Linked DNA regions of Lepisosteus oculatus. The protein of the gene in region 1 interacts with the protein of each later gene in a pairwise test. Links are inferred from orthologs where the notes say so. Each region holds a gene or a part of one and is shown in the gene's direction. Other genes may lie near its edges.

Region 1 (8,322 bases):
CAAAAACCCCAAAAGCTACAGAGACTTGTAGCATCTGCAACCAACAAAACCAATGCCGCAGCTCCAGGACACCTTCTGCGCTCGTGTCTCCGCCTCTGCTCTCGCCCTAAGGGGGGGTGTTGTTTCTAATGCTTCACCTAGGAGGTGCCCATGGCAAACAGAGACTGGTGTGAAGGAGCAGATGACTGGGGGGTGGATGAGGACCAGGGCACCACAGGCTTCTCCCCCAGCCTGCCTGCTGGTGCTGCCCCAGCGCCGCCCCAGGCCAGTGCCTCTGACCGCAGTGTCAGCAGCAGGCTGCAGGGCCTGAGCCTGGAGGAGGAGATGAGAGAAGGGGAGGGCCTGGTTCTCTCCGGTCCTGTACCTGCTTTCCAGCCCTACTACATGGATGTGCTGGCGGAGGAGGGGCTCTGCGCTGAGGATGACATGGCGCATGCTCAGGAGCTGCTGAGCGAGTACGAGAAGAGGGAGGGCGTGGTGTTAGAAGACCTGTTAAGGTATGACCTGCCGGATACAGAAAGGTGAAGGTGCTTTCAGTCATTTTGTTAATATTTCCCTATATTGGAGTTTTAGACCACAGCTAGAAACATACAAATAATAGTTGGACTGTGCATTGAGCATATTAACTGTGGCGTTGTTATAATAATGATGGCTTGCATTTGTATAGTATTTCTCATCCCAAAGGCACATATAGAAGAGGACCCATTTCATCTACCACAAGTACAGCATCCATCTGGGTAACATATAGCAGCCATTATGCAACAGCAACAAATAAGATGGAGAACTGTGAGGGACACAAAGGGGGAACTTTAGGCAGGACAGACTAGGCAAATGAACAGTGCAACTGTGGATGATCAACTAGTCAGGATTTCGGTTAAATGTTTTATCTCAAGGATGGAAACCTCCTCCAGCACAGTCTGTGCACTTCGCACACTGGGACATTAGCTTGGAAGTCAAGGTCTAGAGGGAAGAACTCACATTTCTGATATGTCAATATGTCATTTACAGCATCAACTTGGTTTTCCTAATACATGAGATATCTTTTCCCCCTGCTGGCCAATCTCAGTGTTGCTCTGCTTTTGAGATCTGCCTACACGGTAATAATGTTGCTGTCTAATTGTAAGATGGGAAAAGGGTCAAAGCGCTTGACCTGACCTGACATTTATAAACAATCTCTCTTCCCAAAAAGTACAGAAATAAACATAAATGAAAAACTTCTGAACAGATTAAGATTCCACTGCAAATATCCATTTAAAAAGTCACATTGATTCCTTTCTCACACTGTTAACTGCAGCTGATAATATAAGTCTTAAAAAATACCATTAAGTACCGAAGTTGAAACCGTGTTTTCATGTCGTCATTTCAGCTGTGATGCTGGAGGGGAGGTAGAAAAATACGAGAAAACTAAAGCCAGGCATGGGGACAAGGAGTTCTTCAGGTTCATGAAGACGATCTCGCTGTGTCCAGGGCAGGTGTTAAGGTAAAGAGACTTTTCCCGCATTCACACTTTTACAGACAAATGAAAATACAACCTCAGATCAGAGAGGTTTTGGCAGTGTTGATGGCTAACTTCACTGCATCATGCACATCCACCATTATTCCATGAATCAATGCAAACATCACTTAATTTTCACTGGATGTCATGAATTCCATAATCCTGCGAAGTGCAGCACTATTTTCCAGTCACAAAACATACAAATGACTGGCAAGAAGATGTATGTGAACAGTATGTATATTTTAGTATTTTCAGCTTTGGATTAGTGCACAACTTAACACTTAATTGTCAGAAGAACTATAGAGGCGTAGGGTAAAAAATTGTAGTTTTCAATAGGGCACCTTCACTTTCAGAGAATTACATTAATTTAGATTTTTTAAGCAAAAGCGCTTGCCAGTAAATGAATTACGGTAGGAAGCACTTACACCCATGAGTCACTTTCAAAGCTGTTTGACTGTGGACTCCCAAGATTCCAGAGCAAAGGTACTTCTCTCAGGCATCTGCCAAATAATAATTATACGGGAAGTAGTTTTCCTGGAAATGTCAGGCCTGTAAAATTACAAAGCACAGGGCAGTAGTGGGTGGGGACAGAGTAATAAGGATCCTTGCCCGTTTGTCTTTATCAACCACAGCTGTCCTGTTTTGCAGGTATTGTTGGAATGGGCAGCCCGTGTTCATTACCTGCCCTCCCTCCCACATGCAGAAGACGGTCCCCCCCTGCGCTCACTGCGGGAGCCCCAGAATCTTCGAGTTTCAGCTCATGCCCGCGCTGGTCAGCATGCTCCGCGGCGCCAATGAAGACGGTGGGTGTCGGATTAAGAAGGAAATCTTTATCCAAATTGGCAAGCAGGATTTCATTGCTTGGGTAGAAAAAGATGCATAACATGCAAGTTTCCAATGAAAATTCAGGAGGGGTGACAGCAGCCAACTTCAATTAGCCTAAATCTTAATCCTGATGTAATTTCCTCAAGTTAAAAAAACTGGAATAATTATACCTAAGTCCCTTCTCTCATTTGCATTAGTCTTTTTACATCCTTTTACCCCATTTCTACATTCGCAGCTGCTTCTAAGTTCACACCTCCTCTCTACATGGGGGGCTCTCTGTCTCTCAGCCAGGCGGGTTAGGCCAAATTTACTGTGACTAGCACTCTGTATTTTTTCAACACACTTAATGCTCGGGTGGTGTTATTCCTGATGAATATCAAGCAAAAGCACAGACCTCAGTGAAAAGTAGTGTAGAGAAATTACAGAACTTGTTCATTGTTAAAGGCAGCTTGTATGGTTTGAATTTCATAGCCAATCCTTCTATTCTCCTGTGGTCAGCCATTGCAAACACCTTTGTCTCTGAGACACTGGCTCTTCTCTTGCTCCTCTAGACTGGACGGTGGAGTTTGGGATTGTGCTCATTTACACCTGCAGAGACAGCTGCTGGCCATCCAGAAACCAGACACCAGTGGAGGAGTTCCCTTTTGTACAGGCAGACCCCGATCAGAAATTGTTCAGATAGAAGTGTCAATAAAAAGAAATGAAAGTCCAAAATGTTGTGTTTTGACCTGCTTAGAAATTATCACAAAGGTCAAGTGACCTTTGCAAAGAAGCAAAGCAATTACATGCATACATAAACATTAACCTTACATTCAGCAAACAGAATTATAAAACAGATGCTCACGATGGGAGGCTTAATAACTGAAGCAGGAGAATTTAAAGTTCAAACAGCATCAACGGTTTGGATGTAGGATCTTACAAGATTTCATGTCTGATCTGCATTGCTAACCCTGTTCAGCCCGGGGTTCAGAAACCTAAACATTTTCAAAGTTAGAAAATTAAGAAATCATGAACACATGTTAAAACTAATAAAATTAAGCAAGTGTGAAACTGCAGAGGGAATTAACTAATTCATATATTCATTGTAAAATGTTAAATGATTTCACCTAAAACAAGGCCTCCTGTGTTGCTATAATTTTTAAAAAAAGATTTCAGTCTTTTGTTCAAAATACTAGAATTTGTCGTGAATAATTGCACAAAAATTGCAAGCGAGTAAATGATAAGCAACAACCAAGTGAAAAAAAAAATTCTGCAAATAAAAATAGAATAACTGGATTGGATAAGAGGACATCCCCTGCCAGTTCATACCTGGAAGCACCTTTTGCTTGGTTACAGCCTGAGGTCTGTTTGGATACACCTCTACCAACTTTGCACACCTAGAGGGAGGAATATTTGCCCATTCCTCCTCACAGAATATTTCAAGCTCAAACTGCGTGGTGACTTGATGGACTGCCCTCTTCAAGTCAAAGATTTTCGATGGGATTGAGGTCTGGGCTCTGACTAGACCACTCAAGGACATTCACCTTCCTGTCCTTCAGTCACTGTATGGTTGCTTTGGTGGTGTGCTGTGGGTCATTGTTACGTTGAAAGGTGAACCATCTTCCCATTTTCAACTTCCTGGCCGACGGCTGCAGGTTTTCTTCAAGGATTTGCCTGTATTTTGCACCATCCATCTTCCCTTCTATCCTGAGAAGTGCCCCTGTTCCAGCAGAAGAGATATACCCCCACAACAAGATGCTGGCACCACAGTGCTTTACTGTAGGAATGGTGTTCTCTGGGTGGTAAGATGTATTGGGTTTTTGCCAGACATACCATTTTGTATTCTGGCAAAAAGGTTTGATTTTGGTCTCAGCTGACCACAGCACCTTTTGCCACTTGGCCACAGTGTCTTTAAGGTGCTTTTATGTGGCTTTTTTCTCGCCACCCTTCCATACAGGTCAGTTTTGTGGAGCGCTTGTGATATTGTTGTCATGTGCACACAATTGATCATAGGTGGGAGTCAATTCGTTTGTTGTGTGATCTGCAAGGTGATTGGTTATACCTGAGCACGTTTACAAATGCAGTTGTAAAGGGGGTGTTCACTTACCCAAATAAGGTATTTTACTGTTGTAATACTAATTAATTTTTTAGAATGCTTTAGAATTTTATTATCGCTTGGCTAATGTGGGTTACCGTGTGTAAATAAAAAAATGGAACAAGCCTCGTTTAATTTGTTTTTATTTTCAGTGTCATGCAACAAAAGGTACAAATTGTGAAAGGAGGTGGTGCCTTTCTATACCCACTGTATGATGTTGCAGAATGGTAAACGGATTTGCAGGTACTATAACCTCAATATAAGCTTTTGCATGTCTTTTTTTTTTAAAGGAATACGAACTTACGACGAGACCTGGAATACCGTTAAGTACTCAGTAGTTGATTCTACCCCAGTACACATACAATCTTCCACATCGCCTAAAACAGTAGCCCTTGGACCTGAACAAAACCCCGAACTTCTGATGGACACAGAAATAAAATCCCAACGGTTTGCTCGCATCACGGTACGAGTCCTTGTCCCCCACAAAGCACCTCAACGTCACTCGTTATCTCCGCGGCTCGTCTGCAGGGCTCCGCGCCGAAGTCGAAGCAGTTTCGGAAAACCAGAGAAGTTAACAGGGCCCCCTTTTTTTTTTTTCGTGGAAAGGTGTCGTTGTTGTTGTTGTAGCCACACAGGAAGCAAACGGAAGGCGCCCGAAACGGACCGGCTCGCCTACACCCGCCGGCCCCGCCCCCTCCCCGCAGAGCGCCCGAGCCACTGCGCCGCCGCAGAGCAGGCAGCGCGAGGGGAGCGGAGCGCGCAGGAGCCGGCCTGGGCTCTTTTTTTTTTTTCCTCTCGCGAGGAAGGACGCCATTATCGGAATCCCTAACAAACAACACGAGAATTCATCATTCACACGGTAATATAAACCGAACTGACGCTGCTGGTATTGTGCTGCCGGAGTCGGGCTGGAGACGGGGGTCCGAGCGATAGTCATTTTCCGTAGAAATATTGTCCCCCCCCCCTCCCCGCCTTCTATGCAGAATGCATGTATGCATTTTAACATTGTGTTTCTGTTTGTACCAGTAACCTTACGATAGACATTTTAATGTCTCTGTTCATTGCTAAGTGCACTGGAGCGCCGGGGCCTACTTCAAAAGTCTCCGTGTAGGCGATCTTCCCCAGTGATCGCCTGCTGTTAATTTTATTTTGTGAAACCTGTGTCTTCATATTATTATTATTTACTCGATAGGCATTGCTGTCAAATAAAATGGAGTATTTCCGCTGTTGCTCCTGAAAATATTTTTCCGCTTGTTTTGTATTTTATACGAATGTTGCTGAACTCCATTTGCAACCATATATGGTTGGTATTCCTTCAGATATTTTTTTTATTTGTTAGGGTGATATAATTTTGCAAAAGCAAGCGAATTTACATGCTTTTGGTCATGCCAGGCAAGTGAGATTTTGGTGTGTAAACGACTTTTGCACGTCGGCTACGATGGACGTTTTTGGTTGCAAAGTCAGATTGGTATGTCTTGATTGATCAGGTCTCTACAGACCTGCGGTTGCTCTAAGACACTTTTTCGTTTTTAAAACGCTTAGCAAAGACGAATCGTGAACACATTTTTGACAAGCCACAGTGTACGCTTAGTAGCAAAGCAAACTACTGTATTTCTGGTATATCCTACCAGTTGAGTCGTCGTTTCATCATTATTAGTCGATGGCACATTTACAGTGATGATTATTTTAAGATACTACGTTTCTTGCAGGGGTGACTTTCATTAAGCAAGCTTTTATTAAATTATCTCCAGTGGTGTTGAGATGGCTTTATAACTTAAATAGATTTTTTTTTGTAATGATCGTGTCAAAAGCAAATATCAAATATCACGTTCTGTAATATATGAAGTGAAGAACTGCAAGTTCGTGACACTCAATTTCAGGCCTCCTACAATAGATTAACCTGCTGTGTAAATTATATCTCAGAACCACCTGAATTTTGAAATATTTTTTTTACTCCTGCTACTGGTGTGTTCTGTATATTTGTTTTTCAGTTATTGCTCAAAGCCCTCCAAAATTGTATTTCCTGATTTGTTTTGAAAGCAATTAAAAAACATTTTATTCCCCATTATGGCGCTGATAGATCAGTAATATTCAGCGTGTACTTACAATCACACACGGACATATTGAGTGGATACAGATTTTTAGAATATCCTGTACATTTGAAGAAGGCTGGGTGGAGCATAGTTTAGATGCTGGAGAAGACAGGTTTTGCTCCCTTTTTCTGTTCTTTCCAGCGTGGAAATGCAGCTATACACATGGTAAACGTAGATCTGAATGAAGTGGTCTTACTGCCTTTTGGTTTAAGGAAGATGGCATTTGATTTGCAAAAAATACATTCATTTTCATTTTGTGGACTTTCACGTGTGGTGTGTCAGGAGTGTCCACCTGTGCCGGGGCAATTTCTCATATTTTGTCCCAGATTGAGGGTGATACGTGGTCCTTGTCCACCCACACACACACACACACAGCAGATGTTTTCCATCAACACACCTTCTGGGTCCTGCTCCTTGATTCTCAGCACTGTCGCTCCTTAAGTCTGTGCCATGTGCAACCACAGGAAATGATTAAGAGCAGAAGATAAATTGACTTGTGTCGAGAGAATGTTTCAGCTTGTAAGGTTTCGATGGAAATCAGGTTTTTGTCTTATTTCTGTTTGGAATATTACTTTTGATGGGGCGCCATGGTGGTTAGTATGGGTGCCCTGTGGTTCCCGGGCCCTGAGTTCAGTGCCAGTCTGTGTAAAGTCTCCCCATGTTTCCATGAAGGGCGCTCCACAGCTCCACATGCCCTCCAAAGACGTACTGGCTTCGTTAGTTGGTGTCTGTAATTTGTGCCTGTGTGTCTGGGCATACGTTGTGATGAACATACATCCTATCCAGGGTGAAGTCTCTTACCACAAATATGTGCTTTTCTGATGATGGATAGATGGATGTTCCTGGTGTATGTGGAGAGCACAGATTACAGAGTTGTATGAACAACACTACATAGTGACGCATTACCTGTAACTACAAGCCCTTTAGTGGCCTGTTAGGATCACAGAGATGGAACCGATTTTGACAAAACAGCAAGAAGTGATTTCAAAGTATTGTTTTGCTTGATTGCAAGCTGTCCATTGTCATAAATGAAACTGATCTGGCTAAATTTTGGAATATTAGCCCATGTAGGCTTGCAGCAACAGGACCATGTGTTGTTCTTGTGTGAAAAAGGCCTCTAGAATTGTTTTATTACACAAAAGTTATGTTGAACTTTGCCTTAAAGAACATCAGCTGGGTGGAAAGTAAGATGCACAGCACTGTTTTGTTTTTAACTCTGCAAAATATTCAGACACAGGTCCTAACCTGCATTTTATCATTTCAAATAAAGCTCCTCACAAAGTATTCTGCTGCAACATTCATTCTGCTTGCATTGTAACTGTTCTTATGTTGTTATGGATAAGCAGTGCTTAAAAATAGAATGTTATGTAAGTCACGATGATATTGCTTTTCCTAGTGGAAAGTGTCACTCAGTACTGGAGAAATAGAAAACGTGCCAGGACTAAATAGTAACCATTAAAGAACTGTCGTTCTGGAAAAGCATTTCTGAAGTTGCGGAGACAGGCAAGTGGGCAGGTTTAAGGAAAGAGAAACTGAAAGAGTGGTAGTGGTGAAATTAATTAAAGAAAACTTCCTTCAACAAGTTTAGCTAGTCAAGATGTTTTTATAAATTGAGTAGCTCTTCAACAGCTCAATCAGTAATGATGCCTGCATGGCAATATCCTGTCTTTAACTGTGGATAACTGATAACTGATAAATAGAGCATTTTGTTATCCATCTGTTCTAGGGCATATATGCATTCATAACTGAAGACACAATAATGAATACATTATTTAATTTTTAAAACATAAAGTGATGTACGCTTCTCATCTTGCACTATGTACTTTAGTGTTTAT
Region 2 (7,922 bases), on another chromosome or scaffold:
ATAAGTGAACATCACTGTGGCTTATCCATTTTTCATCTTTCTACAGCTTTAGTCTGGCCCCAGAGCTCAGTTCCTCTGTTGGCTAATTCCCATGATGTGCTACAGCACTCGCAGGCAGAATATACCAACCGCCACCGCCAGGATGGTATATTTTTATTTTTTATTATTCTGTAACTGGAGAAGGCCTTTGTTGTTTAAAAACCTGTTAAATGTAGTATAGTACGGTTGAATAAAAGAAATGCCCATGTATTACCGAGGACACGCAGGTGTTTACAATTTCTCAATAAAATTTGCGAACGCTTGCACCTCTCATGTGTGGATGTGGTACAGGCCATTCCGGCCTCGCTTGGTTAAGTGCCTTATTGACTCGATGTCTTAGAGACTGTTCTTTTTTGTAAAGGTGGAACCACAATTTCAGACGTTAAGGAAGCGTAACAAAGAACAGATCCTCAACAACTACATGTTTAAATGTGAACATTTAAATTTGTGGCTTGCGCCGCGTGCAATTTTCCACGTTTTGTAAGAGGGAGAAACAGTTCAACTGAAACCCTTACGTAGGTAAATGAGTAATTAAGGCTAAAGCATACCCGCGCACTTATATCCCCAAAATAGATTAAGGACTTCACAAGTGCATAGTTAATCGTTTAACTTTTTTTCCCATTTTTAAATATCCAATTCACGTATACAACAGCTTAGTGAGCTTGTCATAGGACGCTAGGGTAAGGAATAAATATGTCGTTTTAATCATCTATAACAAGACAGGGTGAGGAAAACAGAGATGAGAGAACCATTAGGTAACTGTGGTAACTATCATAAAATGGACCACATTTTTTTACATTTCATTTTTGAAACTTTACATAGAATGCATGGCAATACTTTGATTATTTCTTTTTACTTTAATCCCATGAGTAACTCCCATCAGAAGCAGTTGTCCATATAGTGTAATAAACTAAGAAAAATGTGAGGAGAAAGGAGGTACTTTATAGAGTGATTCAAAAAGTACAGCATCCAGTTAAAGAAATGGAGCACAGTTAAGTGAATATTTCCAACCATATAGGGTTTGGTTAAAACAGAATATCCCAGAACACAAGAAAGAGAAAAAAAGAAAATGGAAAGAAAAATAAATGCAATGGAGAGTAATAAATAAAGTTTTATTTTGTTAAGTATTGTGTCATGTTGTGACACGTATCATGTCGGCAAAAGAATGGTGCAGGATAAAAATTATGTCTCAGAGATTATGATAATGGCAAAGTTTCTGAGATGATAAAGGAAATGGCTGATGAATGAATATTTCCCTGGGGTCTTCGGCAAGGAAGAGATCAACAACATGCCCCAAGCATGGGAAAGATGAAGTTCTATATTTAATAGTATTAGCATTAAAATGGCAGGAATGTTGTGGATACTAGAAGCACTGAATACTGCATATACAAAGCTGTAGTCATCTTTCAATCGTAATTAAGAAGACAAGATATTTCTCAATGCAAAGAGATTTTTACTGATTTAGTCAGTGATTTTCATGTGCAAAAGTGTTTTGTGTCCTGGTGGATGGTATATCTGTGTGGTACTGCTAATATTAGTGGTACAGTGTTATTTGCTCATATGTCAGTCTAAATGGAGTAAGCCACTAGCTGAGGGACTCTGGGAAACCTAGTGTAGCGAACAAGTTTGTTAATCAAGTAATTAATAATGGATCAGCTGATCCTTACCACTGAGGTGATGTAAAATCTTGGAACAGCTGTGGGTCAAGTCAGAAAATCTGTATGAAATTACTGAGAAAGAAGCCAGAGTTTAACCTGTGTCAATGAAATATTGGCACTGTTCCTGAGGCAGGATTTGCTTGGCTCACATGGTGTAGCCTTCAATGTAGCTTTCTGTTTGAGTGGAAAGGATGTGGGAGATGGTTAAGGTAAGATGTGTTTGTCATGTACTCTTGTGCAAGCCTTTCTTCTTCTTCTTCCCCTCGTTTCTGTTTGTCTGTCTCCTTTCTCAGTCATTATCTCCAGTCCTGCTCCTTATCTCCTTGTCTGTGTCTCTCTACTTTCCTGAGATTTTTCTCTCCCTCTCAGATGGAATTTTCCCCGGTGTTGTTGAGTCCTGATGAGGGTGTGACTGGGTGTGACCTTTCTTGACCTTCTCTTTGTGTTTGTTCATGGCCTGGTAACTCCTCCCCAGTGTCCCCCCTGCTATTCAAGCTGCAGTGCTGACATGCTGGCAGGTAGGCTGCCGGGGGTGAGCTGGACACTCTCTGCATCCTCCTGCCCCATGCTGACATGTGCTGGGTGAAAGGTGGACCGAGCCAGTTCAGCAGAGTTGACCACCACCAGGAACTCGGCTCCATGCTAGTACTGTAGGCCTTCTGTGCCTGACACTCAGGTACAGCCCAGTGGCAGCAGCGTTCACTGAAAACAGCAAATCAATTTACAGTAAATCAGTTGTGAAAGCAGAGCCAGGGCGTTCTCAAAGGCAATGACATTTCAAATAAAATAAACTCAATTTCCATTAAGTATATCCAGAAAGGACATTTTAGCCTTCATTGTCCTTTCAGGAAGACAGTTCCAAAGCCAATGAGTTTATTGACTGAAAGCACTGCACATAAAAACACCCAAAGCATCCAACGCCTACAGTACAAAACATGGAAACTTATTTTCTTCATCCAAGGCATGGATTTCAATGCATTAATAACTTTAAACTCAAGAGGCACTTACGGCTAAACCTGAGAGGAAACTTTATGTATTTATACACTCCAGTATGAACCTACTTACTCTCCATTTGTAGGTATGGAGCTCGTAATTGCAAAGTGGGTATTTGATGATCTGGCACATAGGGAGCCATACTGATTAGTAATGTAGCCTTCTCCTCTTGAAATCAATGCAATACCTAGTGGTTGCCTAGTGGTAAGATTTGAAAGAGATCACACGTTGAGTAAATGAAAGGTTTAATTTGTCAGGACTAATCTTGCCCTTTTCAGGGAAGGTCATGTCAGAAAGGATGTCAATTATTTTCTTAGGCAGCAGTGGGCAAACAGGAGGCATAAGGCACCATGACAAGGTGCGCACAAAGACAAGACACAAACTTGTAAAGAAGGACATTACATTCATGAATCTTTATAGCTATAATAATTAATAATAATTGCTTACATTTATATAGCGCTTTTCTGGACACTCCACTCAAAGCGCTTTACAGGCAATGGGGATCCCCTCCACCACCACCAATGTGCAGCATCCACCTGGATGATGCGACGGCAGCCATAGTGCGCCAGAACGCCCACCACACATCAGCCATCAGTGGGGAGGAGAGCAGAGTAATTAAGCCAATTTATAGAGAACAATTTATACGTGGTGAACAAAAACACAATATCAGAGCGTAACAGCAGTTGGAAACGAGAGGAGACCCATCCTGGAAATTAACAGCTAATTGATCAGAAGAACTCGTCCAGCCATTTCTTGGAGGAAGAGTATGTTTCTCTTTCAGCATGGCTGGGTAGCTTGTTCCACATTGCCACATGCCTTTGCATAAAGAAATACCCTCCGTTCGCAGTTTTATATCCATTTCTATGTAGATTCTTCTTGTGTCCTCTAGTAACGTCCTAAGAACAGCTTCTAAATTATGGTAGTGCGCATCATAAACAGCTAACTGTGCAATGTCCCAGAACGCAATGCACCTCTGCACTATACACTTTTGACTTGGGCTACCGTGTGTTTTTGTTCACCACGTATAAATTGTTCTCTACCGTGTTTGTATTGTTCTGGTTGTTTATTGACTGTACACACTATCACTTTCTATTCTGAAACATTTTGTAATGTACTGTCTACATTGTGAGGTGTTTTCTGTTGGACTGTGTTGTTTGCTGTACTGAGATAAACACGTGAAGAAGAATTCCAATGTACATGTACATGTGGCAATAAACTCCTCTACTCTACTTTGTGTTTTATCATTTGTTATTGTCAACACAGATATTACAGAAGAAATAACATTAGCCTGTTTAGTGGTTTGTGCTATATCAATCACAGTTGTTAGAAGAACAGCTCACATGATTGGAGCCGATTTTTGACATTAAAATGTGAGGTATTTCAATATGTACAGTATGGGTTTTGTACAGGGACACCATTTGTTAGTGTGTTATTTTGTGATCATAGCACACCGTCTCCCACTTATTTTTAAACCCAGATTTCCTTATGATGACATTCTTCATCATTGGTTATTGTGAGACTGCATTTTAATCATCACTGTTACTAAAAATTATCGTTGTGTAAAAGAATGTATACGTTTCAATCAAAAGTATTGAGATTAATTACACCAAAGATGGTACTTCTTAATGAAACGTCAGTGTCCAAATAACATGGTAAGATGTCTTCCTGATGTGTTGTGGTTGTTTTTAATTCACTTTGAATAACGGACACACACAAATGCATCATTTATTAGTGGGAAATTATTTTGTTTTAAATGCCGAATGTTTGTATAAGACTTCAATTATTTTGCACTTAAAACAAATGTGCGGTGATAGAATAACGCGGTTACAACACATTTCAAATGTTATTCCTTTTTCCACCTCAAAAGGGTCGACGGGCAAGTTAGAAATCACGCCGTTTCCGAAAACCCCAAAACTCTGCAGTCCTCGACACCCCCACCTTCAACTCACAACAGACAGCCATGTTGGCTCTAGCTTCGGGATTAGATCAAGGAACGGGAACAGGCTCTGTTTCAGGAGCCAAAATGACCCGCGTTTCATTCAACACCGTGGGGTTTGCTCGGAGCCAAGAGAAACTAGGGGAGGGAGCGAACGTCCTCTAGCTGTGATCGGATAGGCGATCGGTTAGTTGCGACTGCGGACGACGGGAAGGCAGTGAGGAAGGCGAAGAAAAAAAAGTGTCTTTTTTTACCTCCTCCGACAGAGAACCAACATCCCTCATGATCTCATGAATAAATTATAGCAACCCATTGTGCAACACCGAGGGAGGTAAAGCCGTGGAGTCGAGGCAAATACTGCCTGTGCACAGAGCAGCGAAACGAGTCGCGTTGTATGTAGGCTAACTCTCACTCTCCACTCATGCAGTGTCCGGGGACGATCTCTAGCGAAGCTCCCCGCAAGCCACCCGCGTCCAGGCTGAGCTCCGGAGCTCTGTCGCGTTGCTAAATAACGAGAGCCGAGAACAGGGGGGGAAAACGAAGGATTACAAGAAATAACGACATGGAAAATACAACTTAGCCGAGGTAATCGAGGACTGCGAGCGAAAAAGGGGGAAAAGGAGGAGAGGAGCGGAGGAGGGGGGGGGGAGGTAAGGTTAAAAAAAAGAACACGCACCGTTCCGAGTGGGGAGTGGAGGACGGAGGAGAAGCTGCTCTCGCCTTCCGCGCAGTGCAATATTTAAAAGGAGTAGCGCGTGCTGCTGCCCGGAGATTCCTGCAGTCTGAACCCCGGCGCGCGGCGACCGCAGGCAGTTCGCGTCCAAGGTAAGAGACTGACGCTGCGTCCACATTGTTGCTGCCATCGGCGGCTGCTCCGTGTTTGATGTGCGTATATGAGTGTGTGCGTGTGGTTTTGTTTTGTTTTTACCACGATGTATTGATTTATAATCGTGCTCCGGGGAGAGGGCGAATGAACGGACAACCCGATCTGCGATACCGGATCGGCGTGGGCTTTGATTTTTTTGTTGTTGTTAGAGTGTGAGAAATCCGAAATAAGAAAACAGTTTTTTTTTTTGCCGTCGTTTTTAATGGTCGTTTTCGTGTAGTTCGCGGTGTGTTACAGGCGCTTTAACAAAGGCCCCGCGGTCGAGACACCTGGTGTGCCTTTGGGAAATACCACATTTCTAAGAAGGAAAGAAAGAAAGAGAGAACTAGTTCCCGTACATCAGTGTGTGTTGGTATTACAAGGACGTACAAAATGTCTTCCAATTGTTATTTCATTCTGGGCACACGTTACTGTGCGACTGAGCTGGCTGTACCTAGCCTGCCTGAGTACGACCTGCCTGCCCGATGTCTGGCAGTCACGTTTTTTGGGGGGTCTTTTTTTGTGCTATTTACCCTCCTCGTACTTTTCTGCGTCTTGTCACTCGAGATGGGGATGCCGTGAGAAATGTTTTTGTGCTGTAGCGAGGGTATTTTAAATGGTGCTGGTTGGATACCTGCCGAGCTCTGGAGACCTGTACCCAGCATGCGACGTGAATGATGCCGCGGTTTCGTGACGAAAAGCAAGATTGGCCAGTTTCGTAGTTTTGTTTTTCTCCCCCAAGGATGTTGGCTTCTGATGATGAAGCCCGTCAAAAGAATTCAGCAGAGCGAGTCAGAAACTGTTAAGATCTAAGTTCTTGGCTGTAGAGTACGCTTTCTCTGGTAGATGGAGTAGTTATTACAGTAGAAAGTTTCCAGGTGTTGAGCATGTATCTTGTCGGTAGTTGGCTATGGAGGCAATTTTGTGTACACTTTTTTTTGTCGTCTCCTCGGAATTCAGCACAGACTTTCTTGTTCTCGGAGGGCTACGATTATCGTATTGTAGCCCACTTTTGAGACGGCGTCCACCAGCGCACTGAACCCCCTCATCCGATCGCGTCTTGTGGCGGACAGCTGGGTCGATACCACACCTCCACCTGCTCCTCACAGCACGGATCACTCGCCCATGGCTGTCCACCAAAACTCAGGCAGCGTGTGTCGGTGACTTGTTAAAAGCCCTGTGCAAAAACGTCATCGGACTGACCGCCTGACCCTATCGTTTGTCACTGCAAGAGTTTTAAAAAGAGTTCGCTCAGAAATGGAGACGACTGCCCAAATGCCATTGACTAATCTGTTACCTGTTAGCATCTGCGAGCAGGGCTGCATCTCGGTTTTGTTCAGAGACGGCTGCGGCTCTCAGTGTTGATTACTCATAATATGCTAAAGTTCAGATGGCGTTTTGTGTTTTCACGAGTGCGAGGACCCTGAGCTCACTCTGTCCATGTGGGTGGGTAGCGTTCGACCCGGGGTTGCTGACTGTGCTGTGAATTATTGATAACGGTACATGACATTTTGTGCCAAACTCTGTGCTTAAGACCTGTCGAGAGAAATATGCTAGTGCAGACTTATGCTCGGGTGTGACATTTTGCTTTCAGTAAGTGATTTAGTAATAGATCACTCCTGGGGTGACATGAGGGTATTTTTTGTTTGTAGGAGTTAGAGTGAGTAATATTTTGTGAGGTGACTTTGGAATAAAAAAAAAGTTAACTCTAAGTGAGTGCTGCTGTGTTCTGTTACACTGTGTAGTAGTTCATGATGCTTTCATACTTATGTGCTTTAGTGCTTATTGTAATAAAAGCTCCCGAGACAGGTCAGTGCTGTGTGTATCCTGCTGTGGGACTCATTTCTCTTGGAGGGGCTGAAACGCCCTGGCGAAGTACCAGTTCTCTGATCAAGGGACTCGGCGATGTCTGGGGTGAAATGAATTTTGTGTGGCCACTGTTTCTTTCAGACGCGGGGTTGAAATGCACGCGCTGGCGCTGTGCGGATAGTTTCGGGATTGTGCCCTTTCTCTCCTGTGCGTCAGGGTGAGACTCGCTTGTGCCCTCTGCCCAGCTCAGTCAAGGCTGTCCTGTCTGCTGCGAAACCGTCGCCTGCCGAGCTTTTCGAGAGGCAAGTTTGATTAGGCTGAATGTGGATGGCCTTGCCAACTCATTGAACACCCCTCTCTCTCACACACACACACAGATCTGGTAGCTCTCCCATCTTTTTTTCCCTGTTCTCCTAAATGAGGAGTGTCCTGAGCTCGGCTCGGCCCCGCCCCGCTGCCAGTGGTCCGACTGGTCAGTCTTGCCACGTCTTTCCAGCTCGGGGGGGCTGGGTGGATGGACGTGCTAGGACAATTGTGTGCTCTGTGCCCCCCTCCTGCCCGAGCTGCCCCACTCTCTCAGCCTGGGACGCTGCGAGTGGGAGAAGAGAAGGGGAGCAGCTGG

Evidence for each region.
Region 2: the proteins of banp (region 1) and zmiz2 interact in binary tests that used the Homo sapiens proteins (3 or more experiments, as listed by UniProt). The two-hybrid records come from large-scale screens. The link is inferred for Lepisosteus oculatus from reciprocal best matches to the Homo sapiens genes BANP and ZMIZ2.

Annotation. Positions count from the first base shown.
Region 1 is NC_090715.1:13,363,105-13,371,426, forward strand, and holds the start of banp (protein BANP), read left to right. Parts: upstream 1-5,116; 5' UTR 5,117-5,253; intron 5,254-8,322. Other genes in the region: pdcd2l (programmed cell death protein 2-like), read left to right, coding at 142-497, 1,367-1,480, 2,144-2,298, 2,872-3,002. UniProt on the Homo sapiens protein: Controls V(D)J recombination during T-cell development by repressing T-cell receptor (TCR) beta enhancer function. Binds to scaffold/matrix attachment region beta (S/MARbeta), an ATC-rich DNA sequence located upstream of the TCR beta enhancer.
Region 2 is NC_090697.1:69,337,780-69,345,701, forward strand, and holds the start of zmiz2 (zinc finger MIZ domain-containing protein 2), read left to right. Parts: upstream 1-4,829; 5' UTR 4,830-5,451; intron 5,452-7,922. UniProt on the Homo sapiens protein: Increases ligand-dependent transcriptional activity of AR and other nuclear hormone receptors.